Linked DNA regions of Caenorhabditis elegans. Each later gene encodes a partner of the first gene's protein in a complex. Each region holds a gene or a part of one and is shown in the gene's direction. Other genes may lie near its edges.

Region 1 (3,755 bases):
CAATACTACTAGATTAAAATCAAAACTCCTAATAATTTGTAATATGTTGATCTTTCAATCTTTGAGTTATTTGCAAAATTAGCTAGTTTAGTACAATTTGTTTTATTTTTCAAAGAAAATATGTAGTTTGCCATTGCTCAACTTTTTCTTTCATTTGGATAATATGTAAGGGAATGAGTGAGCAGTAATTGCAATATCTCACAACACATCGCACGTATTTTGAGCTAAAACAGGAATCAAAGTCACTTAACATTAAATCAATAGTATATAAATAGTTGACTTCATTGTGTTGTATATTTGAAGTACTAAACCATAAATAGCTTTTCAAATTTTTTCGAAATGTTTTCAAGCAAATTAGTTAAGATCCGGCTATTTTTCTATCAAACTTCTTAAAAAAAAGAAAAACAACTGAAAGTTTTACAGCTCTTACTATTAGTCATGACATGTCGAACCACCGTAAAAGTTTTGTTGAAAATTTTCTGAAGCAGTCTGGTTCTGAAATTTGGTGAAATTTGGTTCAATCATGTTAATTAGAACAAAAACCCAGAATCGCTACTTCTCTTTTAAAAGCAATAATTCAATCGTCCTTCCCGCTCTCACCTATGGTTCAGAAGCCTGGACATTCACCAAAGCTCTATCCGAACGAGTAAGAATCACACATGCCTCCCTAGAAAGACGGCTTGTGGGAATCACACTCATTCAACAACGAGAATGAGATCTTCATCGAGAAGATATTCGTGAAATGTCTCAAGTAAGAGATCCGCTCAATTTCGTGAAAAAGAGGAAGCTAGGATGGGCTGGACACGTTGCGAGAAAGAAAGACGGAAGATGGACCACGCTGATGACAGAATGGCGCCCCTGGAACTGGAAAAGGCCTGTTGGAAGACCGCCGATGCGATGAACTGATTCGCTGCGAAAGGAGATCACGACTCGGGACGCAGACGGAGAAGTCATCACCCCATGGTCCACTATAGCCAAGGACCGAAAAGAATGGCTTGCTGTGATCCGCAGGAATACCACGAATTCCTGAAGAACGGATCGTCTAAGTAACTAAGCAAGTAAGTAACAAATCATGGTTTCGTCAAAGATCAAAACAATGCGCATTCAAAATTTAGTCTCGCAGCATCTATTGTTTTGTCACTTCTATGTATTTGTCTCGCTCCACTAGGAGCTAATAAAACATATGTTTTGTATTCAAAGTTAATAGAACAATTTTCATAAAAAGGATTAAAAGACAATCCTCGCTCAAGCTATACCCTGCAAAAGTGGAAATCTGGTAATATTGTTGGGGCGCTCCCACGGTGTTTTAAATTAAGCCACGTCCAAACTTGAGACTGAAATCCAGTTTTGGATTGCTTCGCTTCCCAGTTCGGTCTAGGTGAACTTGTCGGAATGCAGCACTTGAACTGGGAACCCATATTCAGTTGCTCACGGCCACCAGTGCCGACTGAGCAATCCCATACCAATTATATTTCAGCAACCAATCAATTTTTATGGGCTCAAATTAATAAAACACTGAAAAGTTAAAATATGATGATGCAATTATTTCTCTTCAGGCATTGTGTTGGTTTTTTTTGTTCTATTCGACCATTGCGAGAAAATTGTCAATGATTAAAAGTCCTCTTAAGAAAGTAAACATAATTTAAAGAAATTTCCATACATCAAGTCCACATGATAATCACGTATTATCTTTGTGCTCACTAGCTACACTTCTATCGATATTTTGTCATCTCTCGTCTTGCGAAATGTGCAAACAGCTATTCTGTAACAGTATAATCGGTCGGTACGTGGTGCTGTTATCAGGTAAATTTCCGTTTTGCGTGACTTTTGACGCACCATCTCGTCTTACTTTTCGATGAAACACACGATTCGATGAGAACATTAAAGTTCATCTATGAACTATCACAACGATAGAATGAAGGAATTTTTTGGGATGGGGAAGTCATGCATAGCTGAGAAACGTGCACAAAACATCCGATTATGGGAAAATGAGTCCCACTTACAAATGCATTCGTTTTGTCGAATTGGTCCAAGCGCTTCACTCGGTTCTTAGAAAACGTCCGTTGATTCTGTTATTTGTACAAAATTCAAAAAATGAATCGAAACCCGCGAATGTCAAAATTTCAACCAAATCCTCGTAGTCGCAGTCGATTTCAAGATGAAACAGATTTGCGTTCGCTCAGAAGTTTCAAAACCGATTTTTCAAATTATCTCGCAAGTGACACTAACTTTCTGAATGTTGCGGAAATTATGACATCTTATGCTTACGGAGAAAGCAATAATGCACACGAAAAAGAAATTCAGTGCGATCTTCTGACAGAAAACGGTGGTATTGAAATTGACCCGACAAGATTATCTTACAGGTTTGTCTTTTTCTTCGATTATTTGTGATTTCATACTAATTTTTCAGAGAAAGAATAAGATGGCATTTACAACAGTTTTGCTATAAAACATCTAGTCATGGTATTCCAATGCTTGGGCAAGCTCCAAACAGTTTATACAGGTAATAGGCATATTGGGAGGGAGCTTCATCTTAAGAAACAGCAGAGATATGAAAAAAAAACCAGCTGTTAGCTATTTTTAAAGTTTTCAACGGTCATAATAAAAGTGTTTAGTTTATTTAATCAAAAGATCATTGAAGAAAAATAAAAAATAATAAACAAAAACACTTACTTCTCCTTTAAACAAAATTATCTAACAATATTTTTTTGTGTTTGACAGTAAACCAACCCATAAAACCTTTTTCCAGAGCTGCATGGGTATTCTTGCTTCTAATCTGTGCTATACAATTTATCAATCAGGCGGTCGCTGTGATTCAGAAGTATCAGAAGATGGATAAAATCACGGATATACAATTGAAGTTTGACACAGGCGAGTGGTTTCTGAGTTCTTCAATACGATCTTAAAAAGTGTTTTGAAAATAGTAGTAACGCATTTTTCACCTTTATAACTTTTACTTTAAGTTTTTTGTTTCCGTGCTTATAATAATATCATGTCACTGTTTTTAACTGCAATACAATACGATACCATTTTCAAAATATTCCAGGTGTAAGTTTTTAGTTTCCGTTTTTTTCAGCGCCCTTTCCTGCAATTACTCTTTGCAATTTGAACCCGTACAAAGATAGTGTCATCAGATCACATGACAGTATTAGTAAAATCGTGAGTTTCTGTTTTCCCGAGAGTTTTCCCCTCTATTCATATTTTTTTAGCTTGGTGTATTCAAAAGTGTTATGAAAAAAGCTGGTGATAGCAGCTCGGAAGCATTGGAAGAAGAGGAGGAAACCGAATATGATATGAATGGAATAACTATCCAAGCAAAAAGAAAAAAGAGAGGAGCTGGCGAGAAGGGAACATTTGAACCAGCGAACTCGGCTTGTGAGTGCGACGAGGAAGACGGTTCCAATGAATGTGAAGAAAGATCCACTGAAAAGCCATCGGGCGATAATGATATGTGCATTTGTGCTTTCGATCGGCAGACCAACGATGCGTGGCCGTGTCATAGAAAAGTAGGTCACTCTCAAAGCTTTGGTGTATTCCGCCTATTAGTTTGCATGAAGCAACTTGTTGCAAAAAAAAGAGAAAATAGAAACGTCAACAGATTTTTTTCAGGAGCAGTGGACAAATACTACATGTCAAACGTGTGATGAGCATTATTTATGCAGCAAAAAAGCTAAGAAAGGTATTGCGAGGGAGGCGTTTGAAAAGGATGCAAGTGTTGGTTTTCCGATCTGTGTGGACCAAAAAAACACACCCAA
Region 2 (3,755 bases), 2.9 Mb from region 1:
AGAAAGTCTGTTTTATTCATCAAATCCTCGCTCGACATTCACTTACACTCTTACTTTTAATGCAGAGTAAGCTTCTGCTATTCTTGATTGCGTGATGGCCATAGAAGTCGCTTTCGAGGCAAAGTCGGAAATCTGTGTGTTGAGAAGAAAAGGAAGAATGAGTTAATGAGGGCTAGGAAAAGTGAGACGAGAGCTCGAAATTCCTGAGAGCACCTAAAAGCGTCCACCCAAAGAGTGTTAACGTTATGTTTCCCATTTTGCAAAATTGTCAGATACTTCAAGTACTTTCAACTTTTTCAATAAGCCCCCGCAACGACAAGGTTGATTCAATTGGTGTGCATCCTTTTTTCATAACACATACACACATGAAATACATCTTCCATACGTTATGTGTATTTGCAAAAAAAACGCTTCACACCGGAATGACACGTTTCCGCACTCTCAGTTAGCAACAACTGGAGTGTGTTCAAAACAAAAAAAAACGAGAATTCGCAACCAATCTGAAGATGAAAACGGCTAGTTCAAATGGCTTTGTGCATTCGTCATAGTTGTTTCTCAAAACACTCCCAATGGTTTTATGATACTTAAAAATATAATGAAAAAATCTCAAGTTTCACATAATCCATCTTTGTGTCTTTTTTCGAAAGTTATTCTTGACGATGGCGTGGGAAACATATAAACAATACAACAAGAAGTCAGAAGGAGGAGGATATAGTCAGGAGGAGGAGGAGTGAAAAAGAGCATTTAATGAAAATGCAGTGAATCGTAAAGGACTAGATGTTGTAAATTGTGTGTCTAGTTTAATTTTTTACACGAGGAATTCATGAATAAGAAATATAATACAAAGTAAGAAATATGGAAAATTCGAACTAACAAAAAAGGGTATACTGACAATTTTGATAACAGTTGTCAAAAAAGGACCATATGCAAAAAAATACGTTTCGTAAATAGTTGTTTGTTTTGAAAATAGGGGTTATTAAAATGTTATGGCTAAATATCATAGTAAAACAAACTTATACTCTAAAATTAAAACAAAACATTTCTTCGATACATTTTATTTCTATCTTTATTTTGAATTGAGTTTTGGAAATTGTGGAAATTAAGCTGTATGTTTATTTTTGGGTTTTTTAAACTTTAAAATTTATTTTCCATTTTCCGCCTTCAATCCAATCATACATTTATATTTTAGAACACATTTTTAAAAGTAGGTCGTATCATCCAAAAATGTATCAAATTTTTTAAAACCATTTTTTGTTGCAAATTTAAAAATCATAAAGAATTTGGATAATTGCATAATCATTTTTTAAAGAGTTTTTTACAGCACTCTGTCCCTTTGACCCATTTTCTTTAATTTCATACAACCTAAAATTATCATAGTTTTCCCCAAGAGGTAACATTGAAAGTTAGGAATTTTCATAAACAAATTGCGTTAACGTGAGGAATCTGATAAGAAACGTGGACTACTTTTAATTACAAATTTAGAGAGTGTTGAGAGTTTCAGAAGAGTTACAGAAGAGTTATTTCAGCCACCATTATGTATCTCATGATTAAATGTATTTCTAATAATAGTTATTTAAAACTATATCATTTGAAATTAATTTACGGCTTCGAAGCGTTTCGATTTTCAAGAAAATTTTCAGCTTCCCAGGTTTCCCGTTCACTGTTTCCATTCGCCTTTTCCCGCCTGACCTTTTTCCCAAGAAACTACTATTCTAAAGTCCGACCTAACATATGCATATAAGTCCTACTATTCAAGTTTCTGGCAACTTCAAGATCCCAAAACGAAAATGTTCTCGAAACTCTTGCATTACAATGGACAAGTCACGCCAGAGACAATAGGCTAGTAGCAAGTTCTTCGCTGCACTGTTACCCCTAACTGTTTTCTTTGCATTTGTAATCAGGGACGTCATATACCAATTGGAGCAGAGTCGTCTTCTTTTTGGGGTGTGAGCCCGGCTTGCTCAACGAAATCCATACATTCGAGAGTACATCCCACTATTCGCCGAGTGTTTATGTGTCATTCGTGAATCGTGTCCCAGTAGTCTGTGACTGAATGCCCACACATTCAATCTATGAGCGCCACAATGTCATCAGCTCGCAATTCGGTCGTTTCACTATCTTCAAACGGCTCTGTCAAGGTCGAGACTCGATTGGTTAGCAACGAACGGAGCTCTAGTATTCAACAGGAGGGCGCCATGCTCCCATCATCCAGCTCCAAAGACGATGATCTCTTATCAACGTCATCGGACGAAGTTGAGAATATGGCGACCAGGACTTTACAGCAACTTGAAGAGGTGTGTGTCTATTAAATTTTTTGGTTTCCGGATTATCGTATTTGTTTCCGCTGTAGAGTACATCAATCATCTCGGCCAACAGCGACGATGACTCGGTGAAAAAAGAAAAGCAAGCTGAAAAGGATGTGGAGAAAGGAAATGGAAAAGAGGAAAAAGGTAGAAACTACAATCTTTGTCACTTATTTGATTGAATTAGTCATACATATGTAGAAACTCGTGCTTTCATTTGTTAAGTGACAACTTTAAGGTTCAAAATGCTGCTTTACTCTAAAAAAATGTTCGAAATTGTTTAAAATTGTGACACGCTGTTGTTAAAGCTTTAACAACTTATTCAATTATTTAAATTTCTGAAAACTGATGTAAAATACAGTATTTTATTGGGTCATATCTTAGTTGTCCTTTGTTATATCTTTGAAAAAAAGTCAAATGACGAATGCTGTGTTGTTTCTATTTTCATTGTTCTGTAGTTAATCATTTAGTGGTATTCTCACAATGAACCTAAATTTAATTTTTCAAAATAAAACAGTGAAGTGCAATACAAATAGAGGAAATGCGGTTAGCCGACAAGTAATGCTTAAATGTAATTCGAGTTAACCTTGGTACCGATTTGTCTCACAAGTTTCTGGTTATATATACTTCGGTAATATTCTTTATCATTTAAACGTTTGAATGCGCCAGTGGAATTGTGAAATACTACTGGTAAATAAAAACCAACCAAATATAATAATAAAACGTTTCAGTTTTTGAAAATGTTTTATAGACAGTCAAAAAGTGGCGATTTCTGAGTTCATGCTACATTTTGAAAATGCTAAAAATCCCTTGTTTGGCGAGACCCAAGCGCCTACATAGAATACGGCAAAGTTTCTCACCTTTCGACTTCTACATAATATGAAAATTCATTATTTTTAACAGTCAAGTTCAACACAGGCTGGCTCATAATTTTCAATGATCCTGTTTTTTTCTGATCTCTATTTCTTGTCGTATACATGTCGTCGTGCTTCGCCAATTCTCATGATGAAATTCAATAACAAATTCTGATTACTAGTTGTAACACCTCCAATTCTGGTTTTCCTTTGTTTTTTTTCTTGTAGCAAGTTGAGTTGTTTGATATAACTGAGTTCTTAAATCTTATAAACGAAAATTAAGAAATCAGTACTAATAACTAGAAACTATATATTGAAGAAATTGGAGATGTTGTAACATTACGCGTTTGTCGTTCCTACAAAACAAAAAAAATAGCAACAGACTTTCTTAAGCTTAAGGCTTAAGGTGAATTAACAATTAACTACGTTGAACTCAACGATTCTCGAATCTGGTTGAAAACAGCAAATTTACCGACTCATTAATAGTAATTGAATATCAGTACGATTGTTTACTACTTATAAAAAATGGCAGCACCGGTTAGACGTTCCTTTTAAGTGTCATTCTTTCAAATTATCGTGAACTTCCCTTTTATTATCC

The links. Proteins that work in one complex are often made in the same cells at the same time.
Region 2: mec-10 (region 1) and mec-2 share a complex: the UniProt entries of both Caenorhabditis elegans proteins name them as parts of the non-voltage-gated amiloride-sensitive cation channel complex.

The regions. Positions count from the first base shown.
Region 1 is NC_003284.9:8,468,580-8,472,334, reverse strand, and holds the start of mec-10 (Degenerin mec-10), read left to right. Parts: upstream 1-2,020; 5' UTR 2,021-2,094; coding exon 2,095-2,363; intron 2,364-2,410; coding exon 2,411-2,503; intron 2,504-2,749; coding exon 2,750-2,871; intron 2,872-3,076; coding exon 3,077-3,159; intron 3,160-3,209; coding exon 3,210-3,506; intron 3,507-3,609; coding exon 3,610-3,679; intron 3,680-3,755. UniProt on the Caenorhabditis elegans protein: Subunit of an amiloride-sensitive cation channel (degenerin channel complex) permeable for sodium, potassium, lithium and N-methylglucamine, and required for mechanosensory transduction (touch sensitivity).
Region 2 is NC_003284.9:5,573,897-5,577,651, forward strand, and holds the start of mec-2 (Band 7 domain-containing protein), read left to right. Parts: upstream 1-2,072; coding exon 2,073-2,294; intron 2,295-2,350; coding exon 2,351-2,450; intron 2,451-3,755. UniProt on the Caenorhabditis elegans protein: Subunit of an amiloride-sensitive cation channel (degenerin channel complex) permeable for sodium, potassium, lithium and N-methylglucamine, and required for mechanosensory transduction (touch sensitivity).